5 linked regions of the Mus musculus genome follow. The protein of the gene in region 1 binds, or shares a complex with, the protein of each later gene. Links are inferred from orthologs where the notes say so. Each region holds a gene or a part of one and is shown in the gene's direction. Other genes may lie near its edges. The genes, in order: Map3k20, Mapk14, Akap13, Map2k3 and Nod2.

What was found.
Region 2: Map3k20 (region 1) and Mapk14 share a complex: the UniProt entries of both Homo sapiens proteins name them as parts of the signaling complex. The link is inferred for Mus musculus from reciprocal best matches to the Homo sapiens genes MAP3K20 and MAPK14.
Region 3: Map3k20 (region 1) and Akap13 share a complex: the UniProt entries of both Homo sapiens proteins name them as parts of the signaling complex. The link is inferred for Mus musculus from reciprocal best matches to the Homo sapiens genes MAP3K20 and AKAP13.
Region 4: Map3k20 (region 1) and Map2k3 share a complex: the UniProt entries of both Homo sapiens proteins name them as parts of the signaling complex. The link is inferred for Mus musculus from reciprocal best matches to the Homo sapiens genes MAP3K20 and MAP2K3.
Region 5: Map3k20 (region 1) and Nod2 share a complex: the UniProt entries of both Homo sapiens proteins name them as parts of the signaling complex. The link is inferred for Mus musculus from reciprocal best matches to the Homo sapiens genes MAP3K20 and NOD2.

What each region holds. Positions count from the first base shown.
Region 1 is NC_000068.7:72,368,898-72,373,089, forward strand, and holds part of Map3k20 (mitogen-activated protein kinase kinase kinase 20), read left to right. Parts: intron 1-2,829; coding exon 2,830-2,858; intron 2,859-2,973; coding exon 2,974-3,111; intron 3,112-4,192. UniProt on the Homo sapiens protein: Stress-activated component of a protein kinase signal transduction cascade that promotes programmed cell death in response to various stress, such as ribosomal stress, osmotic shock and ionizing radiation.
Region 2 is NC_000083.6:28,725,551-28,729,742, forward strand, and holds part of Mapk14 (mitogen-activated protein kinase 14), read left to right. Parts: intron 1-246; coding exon 247-294; intron 295-675; exon of another isoform or gene 676-1,154; intron 1,155-2,806; coding exon 2,807-2,921; intron 2,922-3,353; coding exon 3,354-3,425; intron 3,426-4,192. UniProt on the Homo sapiens protein: Serine/threonine kinase which acts as an essential component of the MAP kinase signal transduction pathway.
Region 3 is NC_000073.6:75,605,164-75,609,355, forward strand, and holds part of Akap13 (A-kinase anchor protein 13), read left to right. Parts: intron 1-3,321; coding exon 3,322-4,192. UniProt on the Homo sapiens protein: Scaffold protein that plays an important role in assembling signaling complexes downstream of several types of G protein-coupled receptors.
Region 4 is NC_000077.6:60,948,362-60,953,311, forward strand, and holds the end of Map2k3 (dual specificity mitogen-activated protein kinase kinase 3), read left to right. Parts: intron 1-1,559; coding exon 1,560-1,699; intron 1,700-2,796; coding exon 2,797-2,842; intron 2,843-3,402; coding exon 3,403-3,486; 3' UTR 3,487-4,450; downstream 4,451-4,950. UniProt on the Homo sapiens protein: Dual specificity kinase. Is activated by cytokines and environmental stress in vivo. Catalyzes the concomitant phosphorylation of a threonine and a tyrosine residue in the MAP kinase p38.
Region 5 is NC_000074.6:88,657,044-88,661,235, forward strand, and holds part of Nod2 (nucleotide-binding oligomerization domain-containing protein 2), read left to right. Parts: intron 1-3,495; coding exon 3,496-3,601; intron 3,602-4,192. UniProt on the Homo sapiens protein: Pattern recognition receptor (PRR) that detects bacterial peptidoglycan fragments and other danger signals and plays an important role in gastrointestinal immunity.

The sequences.
Region 1 (4,192 bases):
ATGGTATACATCTTTTGGTCATGCATACCTATAGTACCTGGAATAGTGCCCAAAAATGACCAGCATGCTTGGGCATTCAGAACATAAGGGCATTCGGCTTTCTTTTTTCCTTTCTCCTCTTTTGTACATTCCTAAACTTTATAAGCCTATATTTATCATTTGGAAAATGAGCGTTTTAAAATAGCATGCCGGGTTCGACACTACCTTCTTCCATTATGTCACGTCAGAGTTGTCAGAAAGGCACTAGGATTAGTTAGCTTTGGTGGACCTAGCTAAGTAAACACCGGAGTTTGCCGCTCAAGGCAGGAAACAGTCCTTGCTATCAGTTATTTCTACATTTTTAGCGGCTCTCGGCAGGGAGAAGGAAAGCGTTTATTTTTAGAACTCTTAAGACCACAGAAGCTAGAACTTGAATTTGCCAACAGTGTGATCCTTGGAATGGGTGGTGACTGCGGGTGGGCAGGAGGAGCCTGGGCAGGCCCCAGGTGCTCTGCTCACACCCAGGACCTGCAGGCCTTGGTCTGACAGGTGGAGAGCAGGAAAGACAGGAAGTTGTAGGCAGCTGCTCTCCTGAGAGTCCACCCTGGCCTCTCCTTAACCCAGTCAGCTGGCTCAGCAAACTGTCCCACCCTCTCCTACTCTTTTTGGCTCTTCTGAGACAGAATCTTGTGATATAGAGCAGGCTAACAGGAAGTCATTAGAAAATAATCTAATCCCCTCCGGGATGAAGTGACAGAGTTATGTGACTACAATTTCAGTTTGTGCTATTAGTTTTGATATAAACAAGTTATCTGATGTTTTAAAACCTATGTAGTTAGCATGAAAATGATATTTAACAATGGAGAATTTCTCATTTTAAAAAAACTACAACTTATGTAGTTAAAAGGAAAGAATATACATTAATATCAAAAGAATACCAGCCTAACTTTGGCAATTTGTTTTTACTGGGAAGTGGAGTGAGATTTTGTCTTCTGTAATATTTTTGAAAACTTTAGTTCTGGGCTGGCAAGATGGCTCAGTGGGTAAAGGCACTTGCCACTAAGCCTGACAACTTGAGCTTAATCCCCAAAAACCACATGACAGAAAGAGAGAACCAACTCCCACAAGTTGTTCATGATCTCCATGTGTATACCATGGCCTGTATGCCTCAACACTGTGTACACACACAAAATGAATAAATAAAATGTAATAACAATAAACCCGTATTGTGTGTGTGTCTGTGTGTGTGTGTGTGTGTGTGTGTGTGTGTGTGTGTGGTGTGTTTGTGGGCATACATGTGCTATGATATGCTCTTGGAAGTCAGAGAGCCACACTGTGGGGTTGGTTGTCTCTTCCCACCTTTATATGGGTCTCTGGATCTGTCTCCCGTCACCAGGCTCTCATGACAAGTGCTTCTAAACCCACCGAACCATCTCTCCAGCCCCCATATTAAGTTTTTTATTGTTTTTTTTTTTAATAAGCACTTGCTAATATTATGTCAGGAAAAAGGAACAGGGAGATAATCTAAGACCAACTGAATACAACAGTAGTATTTATTTGCATTTTTGTTTGCCACAAGCATGTAGCTCATTTCTTGCCAGCCCACATTTACTTTGAGACTATTTATATGTATTAGATCACACAGGATATTTTCTCCAGTTACCGAACCCACTAGTAACATCTGCTGTACTGATCATCCACCATGCTCAAGGCACAGAGTGGCTTACTACACAAGTCCCGGACACCCTCCCTAGGCTTCTGTCCTTGGCCTTCCCTCTGACCATCCCACTCCATGTCTCTCTCAGACCACAGCCACCCACATGCACAGCCCGCTCCTTGCCTCTTGTTCTGTGCTGTTATGCAGGCCGTCAGCCCCCTGAAGTCTCCCTCCTGCCCATCTTCCATGTCACATTCTTTGTGGCCTTCCATCCCCCACAAGACCTCTTCTTGGATTGGCTTCTGTCTTCTAGAATGCCTGCACCTTTACCCTGCACCTGAATGTTTCGTGGATGAAACTCCTCGCCCTCCCAGGCTCCCCTCTTCCTGTCATCAAGTCTTAGTATAAGCATCCATCCCCGCCAGAGACCTCATCCAACCTCCCCAGGCTTAGGTGGTCCTCTTGGTTGGTTCTTTATTAACTCTTTCTCTCATCATACAACTTACCCCCACTTCATTGTGGATGTTTAATGGTCTCTCTGATGCACTGAAGACTTCGGGAGAGGAGAGGAGAGGAGAAGAGAGGAGAGGAGAGAAGAGGAGAGGAGAGGCCGCAGTGACCTTTGACCCCAGTGGGTACTCAACACTGTTGTCAAGCACATGGATGCATAAGTGTTGTTTTCACCTTTCAGAAAATGAATCTTCAACTGTGAAGAACACACACACATACACACACACTCATACAGAGACAGACAGACAGACAGACAGACTTAGAGAAAGACACACACACACAGAGACAGAGACAAAGACAGGATTTTATATCATAAAACATAAAATGAAGATATCTAGAGAATTGGTGAGTTCCTTCCTATTAGGCAGATAGCATTTTTTTTAAAAGCTTAACTCCATGAGGTACTGTACCTGTTTTATACAAATGCGCGCATTTGGAACAGGGTCTTCTTATGTATCCCTGGCAGGTTTAGTTCCTGCTGTGCAGCCTAGGCTCACCTCAAACTCGTGGTAGTCCTCCTGCCTCAGCCTGGGATTCTGGGTACACACCACCACGCCCAGCTTATATCGTGAAGTTAGAAATGTAGTGGTTTCAACGTTAGAAACATGACGCCATACTTTTCTTTGGTGCTAAGGTGATTCAAACAGAAATGATTATCATACTTTCTCTCCATTTTCTTCCAGTTGTTATCGCTGCTGACGGAGTGCTGAAGGTAGGACTGTTTCTTATCATTTGAAGAGAGTTGTCCATTTCTGATGATGGCTTTGTGACTAACAGTCTCCCGTCAGCACTGGGTAGAAAGTTGACATTGGTTCCTCTGTCCTCAGATCTGTGACTTCGGTGCCTCGCGGTTCCATAACCACACAACACACATGTCCTTGGTTGGAACTTTCCCATGGATGGCTCCAGAAGTTATCCAGAGTCTCCCTGTGTCTGAAACCTGTGACACGTATTCCTATGGTGTGGTGAGTACGTTTCTCATTTCCTGCTTACCAAAGGACATAGGAAGGGACAACAGCTTAGAGAAGAAAATGGCCACAGTTTAGCTTCCTTGTGCCTGAGACAGTTGGGTCATCCACAGTGGAAGCATTAGGGAGGGGCTTTCCAGCTGTCACAATGTATGCTTTGATCACTTATGACCCCGAGCTAATCTGTCCTACAACAAGAAGAACCATCACTGCTTCCGAGAAACAAATAATGCAGAGCCTGACCAGCGCGAGGCCTGCCGGGCACGCTGTCGAGCTGGGTGGAAGCACCACTGTAGAGCCGCTGTGCAGTTCACTGATATTGCGAAAATCTCTTGGAATATGCTTGCTTATAATAGATGCCCACATGGCGTGTGACAGACAGGAGCTGCCAAGCGAGCTAAACTTGTACATTTCCGAAACTACAAAAGAACATGTTGTTAGACCAGATAGCCTTGCCCAGGTCTGCTGTAAATGCTTCGAAAACAAGTGGTGAAGTTAAGGGGTTAAAGCAGGTGGATGCCAGCAGGCAGAAGCAAGCCTAGAGTCGAGGGAGGAGCCAGCTAAGGATCATTTGGGAGGAAGTAGCCTCTGGTAGGGCATTTCCTGCTGCTGGAAGGAATCCTTTGTGGCTCCTTGTTTGAAGATGGTTCTCCCCCTGAAGTGTTGAATATCCCTTTAAAGACCAGAGCATCATGGGCAATTCTGAGTCTCTGGGTCTCATTGCCCTCTGTGCTGTGTACACCACCTCTGCTTTACACATTACCTCGCAAAAGGACACTACTGCTGTAAGAAACAGCTCACCCCCCCCCTTTTCCTGAGGTAGGGGGAGGTGGCTGGAAAGGACCACACGTCAAGTGCACCCCTCTCCCTCTTCAGTCCACACCCGGGCTGGCGTCCTTATATGTGGGGCTTTTCCACTGGGCCAGTGCTCCCTAAACCGTGGCACCTCTTATGGACGAGTGAATCCTGATGGCGATTGGAAACAATTTCAAAAATGGATTGTATATTTTTAGCTAAAGTCTAGGGTCTTAAAGGGGCTAGATGGTAACAGTAGCAACAGCATTAAATATCTAATTCC
Region 2 (4,192 bases), on another chromosome or scaffold:
TTTTGGTAGTGTGGGTGGGGCTAGAAGAGTGACATCTAGTTCAGATCTCAGCCTTGTAACTGAAATAGTGATTTTCTGCAACCTTGTTCTCAGTGTAGACCTGGTAAAGGAACACTTGCCATTTGCCTGCTCAAGGCTTGGAGTCTGCCTTTCTCTCTGAGAGCTCTTCCACATGTGTGCATCTTTAGGACCTGTAGGGAGCAGACTCTGTGCATTGTTGATAAGCTCTCTCTGCTTGCTTTCCAGGACCTAAAGCCCAGCAACCTAGCTGTGAACGAAGACTGTGAGCTCAAGGTAAGAAAGAAGAGATGGACTGTTTGCTTCTCTTAAGTGTTCCCCAGAATCGTGACCAACCACACTTAAGCCACGACTTGCTATCTAAAAAGTCATTTGTCCTTAGGAATATCAGACTGTGAGACTTGAACTAGGCTGAACAAGCTGTTTAAGTAACTTTGGAAGTAGATGTCGGTATCTTGTTTTCATTTTTAAAAGATAATTAAATTAGAAATGCAACACATTAATTGTAATAAAGGGATATTATAGTCTAAATGTCAGTTAAGCCTTCCTGGAACACTGATAATTAGATAGGTTCCTAAAAGGAAAAATTGCAGATCTCAGAATGATCTAAATAAAACCTAAGTAAATTAAAATTAAGTCTTTAAAAAGTAAGTAGAGGCTGCCCCCTGCCCAGACTGACGAGTCAGCCCTGCTGTCCCGAGCGCCATGTTGGGTTCTTCTAGCGTTGCCGCCATGAAGAAGGTGGTTCAGCAGCTCCGGCTGGAGGCCGGGCTGAACCGCGTGAAGGTTTCCCTGGCAGCTGCAGGCTTGAAGCAGTTCTGTCTGCAGAATGCTCAACATGACCCTCTGCTGACTGGAGGGTCTTCAAGTACAAATCCCTTCAGACCCCAGAAAGTCTGCTCCTTTTTGTAGTCATCTATCTTGAGGTTTCTCAAACCACTTTTCATGAACCAGTGACTATTCAAGAGAGCTAAGTTTGAAGTCTGTACAAAAGCTTCTCTTTAACACGTGCCATAATACACTATCTTCTGCTCGTCAGTCCTTAACATCTACCTCTCTGAATTCCATGGGTTTCTGTCTCACAAGGTTTAACTATTTTATATACACTGGCTGTAGCATACAATAAAGCAGCATACAAAAAAAAAAAAAAAAAGTAAGTAGCTGCCCAAGGAGCTAAAGAGGTCAGCAACCCTATAAGAGGAACAACAATATGTACTAACCAGTACCCCCCAGAGCTTGTGTCGCTAGCTGCATATGTAGCAGAGGATGGCCTAGTCAGCCATCAGTGGGAGGAGAGGCCCCTGGTCTTTCGAAGATTCTATGCCCCAGTACAGGGGAATGCCAGGGCCAGGAAGCGGGAGTGGGTGGGTTGTGGAGCAGGGCAGGGGGAGGATATAGGGAACTTTCGGGATAGCATTTGAAATGTAAATGAAGAAAATATCTAATAAAAAAGAAAAAGAAAAAAAGGAAGTAGCACTATGCTTTTTTATGATTTTATTTATTTATTTATTTATTTATTTATTTATTTATTTATTTATTTATTTATTTATTTTGGATTTGGGTTTTTCAAGGCAGCAGTTCTCTGTGTATCCCTGACTGTCCTAGAACTCACTCTGTAGACCAGGCTGGCCTCAGAAATCCACCTGCCTCTGCCTCCCAAGTGCTGGGATTAAAGGCGTGCGCCACCACTGCCCAGCAATGAATTTTTTGAAATGTCTGCAGGGGGCTAGAGAGATGGCTCATTTCCCAGCAGCTACATGGCTGCTCACAGCCATCTGCATCTAGAGCATCTGATGCCCACTCTTCGTCTCTGTGGACACTGCACAGACTTGGTGCACAGATATCCATGCAGGCAAAACACCCATGTACATGAAATGGAAAAGGAAAAGAAATGTACTTCTTTGTAGAGTGTTGCGGCCGCCAGCAGCTCGCAACATGAACGGTTCGACTGAGAAGGCTACTCGAGCTGTAAGAGAGGAATCTAGACGGGGCGAAAGAAGAAACGGAGCCAAGATAAATTCATTCTGATCAAAGCTCAAATTTTATTGTTGGGACACTAGTTATAAAAGAAGGGGGAGGGGACCCGATTTCCGCCAAATAATCTCTGGTCCAGTAAAAAGGTGCACGTGTGTGGCTCCGCAGGTTCTAGCAGTGGGCGTGACAGAACAGATGAGCGGGAAGCTCCACCCCTGAGCAAGCAGGTTTCAGGCTGGGGGAGGAGAGACTACAGTAGAGTTGTAATGTCCATGTAACCACAGTGATGACATAGTAACCTCCATAGTTTCAAAAGGTTTGAGTGTCCCCTCCTAGTGACCCATGACTCTCACCCTTCATTCAATGCAGGCAGCCACTGACCCAATTCTGACTCTGGATTAATCTTGTTTCGTATAAATGGAACTGTCGAGGGTCATGCACATTACTGAATTGTGTGCTCATCTGTATTGTGTGCTCCAGCATTCCCAGTTGTTCAGCAGTTTCCTTTTCATAAGCACACCAAAGTTTGTACGCTGCTGTCCTATTAGTGAGCACTTGTGGTTCGGAATATAAACCTATTGTGAACATTCCTGTGCACACCCGTGTGGGCATATGTTTTTATCCTTGAGTAAATGGGGGGGGGGGTTGCTTTGCTTGAAGCTTTATTTTTAAAGTTTCTTGGAGTGTTTTATCATGTCATGCATTCTAAGTGAAAACTGGGGTGCCCTCTTTCTGAAAGTGACTTTTCTGCTTTCCTGGTTGTGAGGTAGCAGAACTTGCTGCTCCCATGCCTGACTTCTGCTCTTGCCCTTAGATTCTGGATTTTGGGCTGGCTCGGCACACTGATGATGAGATGACAGGCTACGTGGCTACCAGGTGGTACCGAGCCCCAGAGATCATGCTGAATTGGATGCACTATAACCAGACAGGTACTGACTGCTTCAGTCGCCTCCCCAGATGGGGAAGGGGTGCTCCCTAACATGGCTTTCAGGTGACTTAGCAGCTGGGGCCTTACTTCTTACGTCTTCCGTGTCATTCTTTCTGTGACACTACCTGAGGGGAGTGGTCTCTTAATCCTAACACCTATGTTTCCTGGGAGGATTCACCATTTACCAGTAACAAAGTTTTGCCCCTTTGTGAGTTGCTTATTTCTTTTATCTTAATTATATTCTGAGTTGCACGACCTGTGGAGTCTTTTCTTGAGTGACAATTTTAATAAGTTTGTTTCTATATAAAAAAGATTGTCAAACCTTGGGTGTCTTAAATCCTGACTTGAATCTCTCACTCATAGTTAGAGTCATTTGTGTCCATGAATATGAATAGAAACCATGTCGGTGCTTGTATCCTCTTTACTGTTCCAGTGGATATTTGGTCCGTGGGCTGCATCATGGCTGAGCTGTTGACCGGAAGAACGTTGTTTCCTGGTACAGACCGTATCCTTTAACACGTTTTGGCCCTGTTTCTCATGTGTGTGCTGTGGTAGATGTGTGCTTCCCTAACTCATTGGTGGGGAAGACTCAGTTCTTTGCAGTTCCAGCGTGGCTTTTGAGGTCTGTCCTCTTGTTGAGTTGCTCACCTTGCCAAGAAAAGGCTTTGGGGTTGAGAAAACAAGCTTAGAACTCACCTGTCATATTTTTGCAGCAAGTCCCTTTATTAATGAGTTTAGTCTATTCCTGAAAATCCTTGGTGAGTGTACACGGCCACCTGTATTCAGAGGTATCTGGTTCTCACATTTGCTTATGTACTAAACAGACTGTGGGTCCCTCTGCTGACACGCCCGCTGAGTCCTGTCCTATTTGCTGCTTAACAACCAACAAAAGAAGCAGGAAGAGAGAGGCCCTGCTGTGTGCTCTTGTTCTCTACACCTTGTTGTCCCTGTTTAGAGCCAGCCCCACTTTAGTCCCATACTTAGCACCATCTGGGTTTTGGGCACTAAGCACTCGTTCCTATCTGTTGGGCACTTGTCCCATGGCTTAGGAATAATATCATTTAATGTGATTGTGAGAACGCCCACCAGCTCTGCTTAAGGAGGGTGTTAGGTGAAAATGTTAAAACGGATGCTTAAAATCCATCTTCAGGAGGAGTTTTGTAAAACTCTAGTAGCCTGCAACTGGTTTTGGTTGGGCTTTTAGAAATACCATAGCGACACATGCTTCACCTTCTAACTGCAGGGTGAGCTCTTGCCTAACACATTGAGACT
Region 3 (4,192 bases), on another chromosome or scaffold:
TAAATTCTTTACACATTTCTGAAGTAATGAAAGATACTCAGAGGCACTGTAGCTGTACAAATGTGTAGCAAGTGAAACAAAATTTTCCTGTTGTGAAAAGAAATGTATTTTTACAGTGTTTTAGAACTAAAGAAGGCCTGAGTTTCTAGAGTGCTGCTAAAGACCAAGAAGGGAACTCACTCCTTAGGAGAACCTTTTCACTGCTGTCCAGTGAATGATGACGTGGCTGCCGTATTTACGTAGATAGTTGACAGTTAAAAAGACCGTCTGAAAACTAAGGATTTTATAATCCACTCAAGCACTGAAGATAAAATGGTTGCCAGACATAAGATTATTACAGAGTCTTAGTAGCATTTATTGTGGATGGTATGGATGTCACATGGCTGGATCTGTAGCATCTGAGAAGCTAATCTTAGATCATTTTTCCACCCCGTTTATTTCAGAGCTAATTTGATTTGGAACCAGCCTGATAATAATTTTGTTTGAGGTCATCTAGGGCCAGCTCAATGCCAGAGGCATTATTTTTGAGACGAGCAAGCCAAACAAATTCTACACTATGATGATATGAAATGGTTTATTCTGGCTGTCTTTCCTTTTTGGAATATTTTTTATGTTTTTGTTTGTTTGTTTTGTTGTTTTGCTTTTCATGAATGTTTGTGTATCACGTTCATGCATTGTATGCGTATGTGTGTCTGTGTATATTGCGTGCATACAGTACACTCAGAGGTCAGAAGAAGGCATCATATCCCCTGGAACTGGAGTTTCAGATGGTTGTGAGCCATCATGTGAGTCCTGGAAGGAAAGCCTGTGTCCTCTGGAAGAGCAGCCAGTATTCTTAACCGCTGTGCCATCTCTCCAGCTTTCTTCTGCCTTTTTGAAAGATATCTATTTCCAGCCTGTCATTTTCATATAAATGGACTCTTTGGAAGTTACTTTTTCCTCTCTGATTTAATGGCTGATCATCTGAGGGAACTCAGCTTGCCCATTTCAGTGTTGTTTCTCCCATTCTTTTTTTTTTTTCCATTTTTTATTAGGTATTTAGCTCATTTACATTTCCAATGCTATACCAAAAGTCCCCCATACCCACCCACCCCCAATCCCCTACCCACCCACTCCCCCTTTTTGGCCCTGGCGTTCCCCTGTACTGGGGCATATAAAGTTTGCATGTCCAATGGGCCTCTCTTTCCAGTGATGGCCGACTAGGCCATCTTTTGATACATATGCAGCTAGAGTCAAGAGCTCTGGGGTACTGGTTAGTTCATAATGTTGTTCCGCCTATAGGGTTGCAGATCCCTTTAGCTCCTTGGCTACTTTCTCTAGCTCCTCCATTGGGAGCCCTGTGATCCATCCATTAGCTGACTGTGAGCATCCACTTCTGTGTTTGCTAGGCCCCGGCATAGTCTCACAAGAGACAGCTACATCTGGGTCCTTTCGATAAAATCTTGCTAGTGTATGCAATGGTGTCAGCGTTTGGATGCTGATTATGGGGTGGATCCCTGGATATGGAAGTCTCTACATGGACCATCCTTTCATCTCAGCTCCAAACTTTGTCTCTGTAACTCCTTCCAAGGGTGTTTTGTTCCCACTTCTAAGGAGGGGCATAGTGTCCACACTTCAGTCTTCATTTTTCTTGAGTTTCATGTGTTTAGGAAATTGTATCTTATATCTTGGGCATTCTTGAAACAGCACTGCCTACCTACTTCCCTGGTCTGCAGTGCTCACTCTTAATTAAGGGTATTGATTTACTGCCCTAACTATTAGAAGGAGTGTACTCTTAAGGGATACAGCATACTCGTGTTTAGTGAGAATCTGGTTTTTAGTACACTCTAACAAAAGGACTTTAGCAAGGATAGCAGACTATACTCTTCTTTGCAGACTTTATGATACCTTTAATTAGTAGGAACAATCTGATGATATAGTATATTTACAGATTAAACAGATAAGTGAGGCATGCTAATGACTGTATTAAAGGTATTATAAAGGACAAGAAATGGAGAACAGATATTTTAAAATAATTATGTACCAAATAAATAGCACTATATCTGAATTTTGATATTATAAATTCACTAAAGGTGCAATCCTATTTGTTTGTTTTTATTTTCCTGAGCCTTGTCTGTACGTCTATGATATTTTTATATTATTTATTTTTAAGACTTATTTTAATTTTGTGTGTGTGCACACACATGTGTGCAAACATCCCACCCCCATGCATGTGTGTTGTGGGGGAGTATGTGCAGATAAATGCAAACAGGAAGGTATCAAATTCCCTGCAGCTAGAATTAGAAGTGTTTGTAAGGTGCCTGATGTAGGGTGCTGAAAATAGAAATCTCAGGCCCTCTGCAAGAGAAGTATGCATTCTTCAGCAGAGCTATCGCCTCGGTCTTTTTTTCCCCCCCCCTTAATTAATAACTTCTGATCAACTGTAAATTTTATTTAGTTTTTTCATTCTCTCTCTCTCTCTCTCTCTCTTTCTCTCTCTCTCTCTCTCTCTCTCTCTCTCTCTCTCTCTCTCTCTCTCTCTTTCTCTCTCTCTCTCTCTCACACACACACACACACACACACACATTCCAGGGGCAGAAGACTAGATTAGATAGTTAGGCTGTCTTCATAGTTCCTATAACAGTGTTGTGTTATTTTTATAACATTGATGAACTGTGATTGTTTTAGCCATTTCTTTCTTATTTGCTGTATTTGTTCATATAATTAATTTTTAAGAACCTTTCCACTATGCATAGTAATGTGGGTACAATCTCAGTAGTTAGGATGGAGAAACGGAAGGGTTGAGGCGTTTTGAAGCTAGCCAGTCTATATAGCAAATTTCTCTACATAGTGAGACCTTGTCTCAGAAAAGATGCAAGCAAAACTAAATTAATTTTAAGGTGCTAAAAACCATTTTTGATCATATTTTTAGTGCCCTCAAGCCATAACACCCTTGACAGTAGTTAAGAGTTTGGTTTGGCTAATAGTATACACTCTCTTTTCTTTAATATGCTGTATGGACAGCACAAAACCCACTTTTTATCTAACTGATACATAGAATTCCTAATTCTAAAAGCGTAGATATGTTGGATTGAACATATTTTGGGAATGTAGTTACGTGGCTGAATATTTTGCTTGAAAGGGGTTCTAAAACTGATTATACTGTGTCTTTACATCGGTATTTGAGGCAGATGGATAGAAGGCCCGGAAAGACAGTGCTTGTCCAACAAGACTTGGCTTACAGGTATCAGTGACATCTTTTTCTCTTAGTCAGCACACCCCCCCACACACACTTTTCTTTTCATGATCAATTTTTAAAAGGTATCTTTGGTTTCCTCCTAGAAAACAAACTTGAAGCAGATGGACAATCTCATGCCATTAATGGTGACAGCACAAGATTCGTCTTGTGTGCCCAGTGTACCAGAGACAGATGGCCTATTCCTTCCCTGTGTACCAGAGCCTTCTGACCACCAGCATCCTCCTTTTGAAGAAACTAAGAGCACTCTGTGCTGCCAAAGGAGTCCTGGGAGGATGGCTGAAAGTTCCTGTGATTTGTCAAGCATGGTTGAGGAAGAAAATGTCATCTGTTCTCATAAGAAAAATAAAGATGTGGGGAGAAAGGGGGAAGAGGCGGAGCCAGCATCTGCCATGGACTCCGGGTCTGCATCTCATCAAGACAGCTGCCTTCAGAGCGTACCCGACTGTGGAGTGAAGGGCAGAGAAGGTCTTCCATCCTGTGGAAACAGAAACGAAGTAACTGGAACAAACTATTCTGGAGTAGCCACATGTCAGCAGCCACTGAGCAGCAGGAGCAGTGTGCTGCAGGATGCCATGGTCACAGAACCAGATGCATGCCAGCACTCTTCTGGAAGGGAGCTACCAGACAGCTCTTCAACAGATGTTGGTGCCCCAGAAAAGGCAGGGGAACTGGAACATAGCCTGCTTACCCCAGATGCTACCACCCAGAACAATAAGCCTCAAGTAGGGGAAGGCACAAAGGAAAGACTTGAGAATTCAGACAGTAGCACAACTGAAACAACTGCTGTTCAAGTTTTAAGTGAACCCATGGAGAAAGCCGATATTACAAACCATGTCTTTGCCACCAGTGCCGTAGGTGTTAACACTCCTGCTGAGGCTTCACCTGCATTGAGTTCTGAAGAAATCCCCACTGAAAAACCAGGAATGGAAACTCAAGAGAGAGGCTGTGAGGGGG
Region 4 (4,950 bases), on another chromosome or scaffold:
GACCGTCAGGAGTCACAGTTACCAAGATATGCTGTCCACTTTCTTCGTTCCTCCTGCCTAAATGTTTTGAGACTGTCCAAGTTCCCATGATTGATCTCATGACTATTGGGGAAGACATTTTGTTATTTTTAAAGAGGCTTTATCTTGAAGGCAGGGTTTTACAGTAGGGTTTTCAGGCCCCAGGAACAGGAGCAAGGCTTGGACTGTCTTCTAGGACCTCTTCCTCCAGGTTCACCACTTATGTTTATCCTTGGCCCAACATTTCCACTTAAAATGCTGCAACGGTACGGTTCAGTGCATCCCTCTTGCCCTGGGAGCTCTGGGCACACAAATTTCCTGTGTCTCAGAATACAAGGGAGTTACCTTGCACAGACACAGGTCACACTCTGAACCAAGAAGGCCCTGAGTGGTGTCACCATCTCCACTGCTGTCTCTGACGCTCAGTCATTATAGGGGGCTGGCTCCCGGGGGGTCCTGTGATAGGTAAACTGTCTTATATGTCTTTGTGTTGAGTTAGTTTTTATTTATCTTTTTCTAAACTCTTTAAAAAAAATCATCAGGCTGAGCAGGGTAATGTATACCTTTAATACCAAGAGGCAGAGACAGAGGCAGGTAGATCTCTGAGTTCAAGGCCAGCCTGGTCTACAGAGTCAGTTCCAGGACAGCCAGAGCTACACAGAGAAACCCTGTCTGGAAAAGCCAAAAACAGACAAGATGTTTGAGGTCCATACTCTGGTGCTTTTTGGTTAGGTATATGGGTGCTACTGAGCTTTCTCTTGCAGTCTGCAGAAAGGTCCTGCAGTAGATTCTGGAAATGCTGCATGCAGTTCTGTCCTGTGGGCGGGCACACATGTGACACACACTGTCTTCCCATTCATGCTGTTCCCACGTTGGTTGGAAAGGCATGGAACCTGACAGGAAAGTCCCTCATCAGAATAGTTTCTAGTGCTCTATGTAGGGCCAGTTGCAGTTGCTATAGAGGTCTCCTCCATTCCTTATGGTGGTCACAGCCTGTCACTGAGGCCTTCCACTGCACCCGTCAGGAGGTATCCATGCAGGAGTCCGCCACTCCCTGTTGGCCTAACTAGTAAAAACAACAGCTGGATAGGTGGCCCTGGATATTGAAGTCTGTGTTGGGGAGGTACTGAAGAGGAAGTAGCTGGGCCAACAGGGGCTTAGGACTGGACCCAGTGAGGTACTTTGATTACTGCCACCTTATGGGAAAGGTGTATGTGGCTGCCACTCCTCATGTTTGACACGCTGTCTGGAACCCAAGTTGTTAAATACAAATCATCCAATTTTAGAGTGTTTGAAAAAAAAATTTAAAAAACCAGTAAGGGTTAAACCCAGCCCAGGGTGAGCCTTAGTCTGAGCTAGGTCTGCCAGTCCAGTCAGAGGAGCTTCAGTAGTTAGTTGGCCTGCTGCTTGGTATGAGGGCAGTCAGTGTCAGCCCTCATACCAAGGCCTGGCCTGGGGTGCTGGGGAATTATGGGTAAAATCCCTTCCTCATCATGCTTCTGGGTACCAAATGAACCTGCTGACTGCTGTCCCTACTTCAGATCGAGATGGCCATTCTGCGATTCCCTTATGAGTCTTGGGGCACACCGTTCCAGCAGCTGAAGCAGGTGGTGGAGGAGCCATCCCCACAGCTCCCAGCGGACCAGTTCTCCCCTGAGTTTGTGGACTTCACTAGCCAGTGGTGAGTATCTGGGCTGTGTCCCCTCCTTCTGCAGCAAGATAACCCTTGAGCCACCTGGTATCAGAAGGCAGGAGGTAAAGCTAGTTCCAGCACGAGTAAAAGGTTTTAGTCCCAGTGGTAGCTTTTAGTTCTAGTCTTTGCAGAAAAGGATGAATCAGGTAGCCCCAAAGAGTAGAGGGATTTTGTGTGTGTATGTGTGTGTGTGTGTGTGTGTGTGTGTGTGTGTGTGTGTGTGTTTGTGTGTAGTAACATATATTATGGAACATTAAAATGCATAATGAAGTTGCTTTTTTGTTGTTTAGAAGTTTTTACTGAATTACAGAAAGTTCATAGAGGTTTTAGAAAAGTCATGTTTTTGATCCAGGCAGTGGTGGTGCACATCTTTAATCCCAGCGCTTGAGAGGCAGAGAAAGGATCTCTGTAAGTTAGAGGACAGCCAGGGCTATACAGAGAAACCCTGTCTCAAAAAAAAAAAAAAAAAAAAAAAGATGTTTGAAGTTACAAAAGAGTAAGAAAAGCAGTTATACAGACGAGCTCTCTAACCATAATTAAATAACTGCATGGAAAGTAAAAGTATTCTTATAACTCTTGGGTTATAAGAGAGATTTAGAAAATACATTTTTAAGAGGAAACTAGTGAGAGCAAACCAATGTTTTGCATGTTTGGCCCAGAGATGCTCAGAGGACAAGTCAAAGCCTCTCAGCAGAAAACAAGAAAAGCTGCAGGCCCAGGAGACCAGTAACAAAGTCATTGATTAGTTTGCCTCTTGTTGGTTGGACTTTATGTTCCGGAACCAATGACTGGAGTCCTCCCTTCTGATAAAGGATAATCTAGTCTGTGGTTTTGGCAGAGCATGTTGGGGTTGGTGCCACAGACCTAGCCTGGGTCACTATAGAGACCACTGGTCTCCAAGAGGCAGGGAAAGTTGCTGCAAGACTATAGAGTTAGTACCCACGGACCCCAAGCCACTTGGCGAGACTCCCAGACAGTTTGCTCCATCTCTGAGCCCCAGGAGTGTGCTGCTCAATGGGGGCAAGCCCAGCCTGTCTGGATTCGCTTCCTCCGTGTGAGCCTGTCTTCACTGCCCTCTTTCCTAGCCTAAGGAAGAACCCTGCAGAGCGCATGAGCTACCTGGAGCTGATGGTGAGTGTGCACGAGAAGTACCTGCCCTGTCCCCTGTGCTGTGTAGTGGCTGGGTGGGGCTGGGTGGGACTGTCTGGAAGAGGGTTGCACTCCAGGGTAGAGAGGTAGCTCTTCTGCCTGGCCCTTGCATGTGCTTGTGTAGTTTCACCTTCACCCATGCCTGTACCCCAGGCCTTGTGGAAAGGTGCACGGGGCTGTGACAGTGGGGCACAGGAGTCACTGTGGCATCAGGGAAGGCTTCCTAGAGGAGATGCCATTTGAGCTGAGCCTGGAAGGATGGGTATGGGCTCTTTGCTAATGAAGGAAGGGTAGAGGGTCTGGTAGGGCAGAGGTCTGGTACCCTTGAGGAAAGAGATGTTTGTGTGGCAGGAGGGACTCTTGTAGGAGGGTGAGGCAGAGTCACAAGCTTTGATGGTTTTGGAGGGCTTCGAGGGGCAGCGGTCCTGGATGGACCAGCAGGAGTTGGCCAGGTAGGAGGGGCATGAAAAGAGGGAACCTCTCCTTTATACTTTCTCCTGTGCCCCTTCACCCCTAGAAATTGTACCTCTCTTTCCTACCAGGAACACCCATTCTTCACCTTGCACAAAACTAAGAAGACAGACATTGCTGCCTTTGTGAAGGAGATCCTGGGAGAGGATTCATAGGGACTGGCCCAGGACCCCACTGGTCTGCCAGCATCCATACATCCGTGCTGGGGCAGCACTTACCTACAGCCATAAGCTACTGCCATTCTGTTCCTGGGCATTTGAGAAATTAAGGGGTTGTTCCTGTCGGTCTCTGCAACTAGCTGTCCCAAGTGCCAAAGAACCAGACCTCAGGGGCTCCCAGCCAGGCCATATGTGCCCCACAGTGCCTCTGCTGTTGCTGCTCCCAGGGTCTCAGGCCTCTACCCAAGGGATGAATCTGACAGGGCCTGTGTACCCCGGCAAACGCTGTCGCTTCTGAAGAGCAGGCAGCTGGTGTCTCTCTGGACAGGCCATAGCCTTGGTACTGTCCTGGATGCCATGCAGGTTGTATATATATTTTAAATCACAACTGAATGAATGGACTTCGTACACTGTGGCCTGGATCAGGGACATCTCTATCCTGTCTCAGGTGCTGAGGACACACTATGGGGATGAATCTCCTAAGACTTTCCTGAGAGACGTACTGAGCTTCCCAAGGCCTTCCCCCCAGCACTGGCCAATGGTCTCTGAGGGACACACTGTCCTCAGACAGCCTCTGGTTACCACCTTTAGTGGTATCTGCCTTTCCCTTTGAACTATTATTCCTGTTGCCTTTTGCTTTGTGGGTATTGCTGGGTTTTCTTGCATGGTTTGGAGCTGACCACTTAACCCTGGGTGCCAGCAGGCTCACAGCCGCCCAGTGCTCGGACTGGAGTCTGCAAGGATGGCTCAAGCTCTTGGCTCAAAGCCACGAGGGAGCTGTAACAACTCTCCAGGTGTGACCAGCTCTTGGAAGCTAATAGGTTTACTTTGGTGGTGTTTTTAAAAAAAAAGAAGAAAATCTATTTTTGTGAAGAAAGGCCTGCCTCTTCCAGCCTTTTCCTGGGCAGGAACCTATTGCTGTTTTAATTAAAAAAAAAAAAAAAAATCGTGTGAGACTGACTGTGGCAAGCCTGCTCTTTCTTGGGGAGTTGTGGAGCCCTAGGCGGAATCCTTACTCTGGGACCATGCCGGGACAATATAGCTAGGGCCTGGAGGCTGCCAGCCCACCAGGGCCTCAGACTTGGCCACAGGCCACAGGTGCTCTCAAGGTGCTGGGCTGAGGTGCTTCATTCCATGGCCACCTAGGCTAGGCCCCTGTAGAGGCAACCTGACTCACTCATCCAAGTGATGGTCCCCGAAGTAGAGATGACCGGGTAGGAAGCAGCAGGCTCCACATTGTTTGCACTGCTATCTCAGCTGTAAGCTGAGAGAATGTGCCCAGAGAGCTCCCTAACACGTAGTCAGAGCCAGCTGAGGCCGAGGGCAGGTAGTGATGCCTACAAGAAGGCTCTGAGGATGCGACTTGGTATAAATGCCCTTGGTAGGTCAGCATGGCTCTGTGCTTCTTGAGCTGTTGCCTGGAAGACTTGCATAGGCCCCGTTACCCCTGTTCTCCTGTAA
Region 5 (4,192 bases), on another chromosome or scaffold:
ATCTTATACTGTAGCCCAGACTAGCCTGGAGCTCTTATGTAGCACAGGTTAGCCTCAGATTTGGGGCAATCCTCCTTCTTTAGCCTCTCAAGTACTGAGATTACAAGCATAATCCACCACAGCTATCTTTTGCTGTTTTCTGTATGGTATTTTAAACCCTGAATTCTTGAGGTTTCCATCTATGCTTTAACACCTGCAGCATGTAAAAGCTATTTTTACTGTTTCTTTATTACAGCAACTTGATCTTGTTTTAGGGAATGTAATCCTTAATGTAGACAAGATGATATTAATGGCTGTTTTTTTATTTATATGATTAGTTGCATTGTTTGATTCATGCTATATATATCCATTTCTGTGCTAGTGATGGAACCCAGAGCATTCACATGCTAAACAATCATTCTACCACTGTGTGACATCACTCACTACTTGTATAAACCTTTGAACCTTCAAGTTACCATTCCTTCTCTATTAATTTGTCTCTGATCTCCCATTTTGACACTTTCTTTGGGCATAGGTAAGCCTTGGTTATCTGTCTTATTATTAAAAAGACAGATTTTGAAATATCCTGAGCAACCAGGTGAAACCTGTCTACAGTGACTTTCACCGTAGATGGTTAGACAATAGTAGTGTATATAGTAGTTTATTTCTGTAGAATTTTTCTCATGGGTTTACCAGCTTCTTCAGATAAAAAGCCTCCTGCCTGTGGTAAAGGTATGATTGTAGAGGTCTGGGAACCTGGAGGATGAGTGAGCTGGGTAGTGGAAAGGTAACCTTGGCACATATTTTACACACAGTCATTTAAACTCTGGCTTTGGGGGAATGGCAACCACTTTCTAGTTGTGCCTGGATTCTCCCAGTCCTGGGATCCTTTTTCATCCTTTCAGAATGCAGATCTTTGGGCAGTATGACAGGCAGGGACAGTGAGTGGCTGGGTCATGCTTTGGAGTGGGGAAGACATACTTGATACTGCCATGCCAGAGCTCTTGGCAGACTGTAGGGTACACATGACATGCTTTTCAACAGCAACATTTTGGTCTTAGGACTTAGCCTTAAGAAGTCTTCTACCATCCATCCATGTGTCCATCCATCTGTCTATCCATCTGTTCATCTGTCCATCCACCCACCTACCCACCCACCCACCCACCCATTCATCCATCTACCCATCTATCCCACATCTATCCATCCATCCATCCATCCATCCATCTACCCATCCATTCATCTATCCACCCATCCATTCATCCATCCACCCATCTATCTACCATCCATCCATCCACCCATCAGTCCATCTGTTTGTCCGTCTGTCCACCCACCCACCCATTCATTGACTCATGTATCCAACCATCCACCCACCCACCTGTCCATCCATCCATCCATCCATCTATCCATCTGTCCATTCCATCTATCCATCCATCCATCTATCCATCCATCCACCTACTTACCCACCCAGCCACTCATGTATCCAACCATCCACCTATCTGTCCATCATCCATCCATCTGCCCATCCATCCATCCATCCATCCATCCATCTGTCTATCTGTCTGTTTATCTAGTAGGAGTCCTTTTATACTGCCTCTGTCATTGGGACTAAATCAGTGAATACAACAGAAAACTTTGTTGTGATGTTCATACCTCAGCTGGAGATAGATCATAGCAGAAGCAAGCATTGCAGAGTTTGGAAGGTGCCCTGTGCAATGGAAGATTAATAAAGGAGTGGATCTGTCTGTTGAGAGTCCCCAGGGTATAAAGTAGTGACTTCACCTTCCTGAAAGGTTGTTAGAGTATTCTCAGTGAGAAGATAGGAGCTGGGAAAAGACTAAAGTGGGTGAGAGAATTAGCCAGCCAGCGGTGGGGTTTAGCACTCTAGCCAGAGATGCTGTTAGAGCAAAGTCCTGAAGTAGAAGCACACTGGGCATGCTCATTAAATGAGAGGGAGGCCAATGCTAAGTGGAGCATTCAAGGGGAGGAGGGGGCCAAGGCAGTCAAGCAGTCAAGAAGAGATGCAGTCTGGGTTTACATGGTCACAAACAAGGATGCTTGTCTACTTTGGCTCTGGAGTGTTTACCATTGGACTCAGGCCATGGCTGGGATGTTTATGCTATGCTTGTGTGACTAACCTGTAAAATACTCACCTCTGACTAGGAAGCAGGCACTCTCCTCTGACTGTGGTGTGGGGGATGGAATAGGCTGTAGGCAAGGATTGTGCAGAGACTGGCAGCTGTGCAGTTTCTGGGTAAGCCATGATGTGCCTTGGAGCAAGATGGCAGTAGGCCTCATGTGCATACAGGGCTCCATAGCCATCAGCTAAATGTACCAACTCTAGAAGACATAACAGAAAAGAGATTAAAAAGCAGCACGTTCCACTACTTCTTATGTTGACCGTGTGGTGAAATGGCAGGATTTTGCGTGTTGTGGTAAAGTATGATCTATGACCAAGTACACCCAATACTTGTCACTGAGGCATGTGGCTGTTAGGCTTTGGTGCACATATACCTTGCTTGTGTGCTCTGGACTCTATTTCTGTCAGACAGCTTGATTCTGGTACTTTGAAGGTGGAGACTACAGGATGTGCTGACAATGTGCAGAGAAGGGACTGTAAGGTGACCTCAGATGTTGGGCTGAACAACTAGAAGGATTGAGGAGACCTGAGCAGAGACTAGGAAAGGCGTGTGTGCGTGTGTGACCAGCATGTGTGTGTGTGTGTTTGTGTGTGCATGCACGCGCACATACTTATGACACATTTAAAAGGAAAAAAATGGGCAGTTAGGGGTGTGGGTCCCAGACTCAGAGCATAGTTTAGGCTGGAGAAGAAAGTGGGTTCTGTGGAGAGAGAGAGTTTAAGCATCCAGGCCATGGGACTTGGTACAACACCAGCCTTCCAGGGGTCTATAGCTTCCAAAATCATTGCTTGCTTTTGTCCGTTGGTAGGTTTATGTATTTGTTTGGTCTTTTTTTTTTTTTTTTTTTTTAGCTTTTAATTTTTTAGCTATTCATTCTCTCAGTGGGTTTTGGGAGGAAGCCAGGTTGGCTGTGTGTTTGTTTCACAAACCACGACTACATCATCTTTGTTTGCTAAATGCAGACGGTAGAGCAGTTGTTTTTCTGGGCTCTCATTATGCTAGAAGAGGACTGTGTATTGGTTGTATTGTTGGTAGTTTTTACTTTATCCTGAATGCTTGATGCCAGGAGTGTTTCAGAAAATTTTTTGGGTTTTAGAATATTTACATAAACAATGAATACCTTGGCAACCCGACCCACGTCTAACGACAGAAGTCATTTATATTTCATGCACACATGGCTGGAAGGTAATTCTACACGATGTTTCAATTTTCCTGTTGTGACATTGTGTCAGCACTTAGAATGGTTGGGATTTAAGAGCATTTGGACTTGGGACCTTCAGATTAGGGGTGTCCAACTTTTAATAGAAACCTTCCCACACTGTTCCTCTTCCTTCGGCCTTCTTGAAAATAGCAATGGCCTTTTCTTTGTTGTCTGTAGGCAAGAAGGCTGCTTGATCTCGCTGCGGTGAAGGCCAATGGACTGGCTGCCTTCCTTCTACAGCACGTCAGGGAACTACCAGCTCCACTGCCTCTGCCTTACGAGGGTACGTATTTGTCCTTCTGGTTAACACAGACCCCTGGTTAAAGAGCAAAGCACAAGGCAGTTAGCGTCCATGGATGGATGCCTGACGTCCTCCAGACTCAGTTCCTGCATCTGAAGCCTAGCAGCAACCTGACAGCAGTGAAGATGGAAAAGATGAGGGCATGGCGGCTCTCCCCCTTCCTTGCTCCCCAAACCACATGATACTCCCTGGAGCCAAGGCGTGTGGAGAGAGCCAGCTATGGGTACATCTTGCTGTCCAAATTGCATTCTAGACCAGACACAGATAGGGCTAGGATCTCTCAATCCACGAAACGTAGTTTCTCATGATCTGGAACTCATAACCAGGCAGACTTAGAAGGTGCAGTCTCATCCATGGTATGCTCAGCTGAGCAGTGAGAGAGGCTCCGGTGACACGGCTAAAATGTACCAGGCAGCCTGGCATACACTCTATGGAAATTTTCTGCCATTTACCAACAGTTCTGAGAAGTGGGTATTTGCTATGTTCCATTTCACAGATGGGAAAATTGAGGCTTGAGTAGCAAGATGGGTGTGACTGGAGTGTCCTTCTCTACTTGGGAGAAGAAGCCACCAG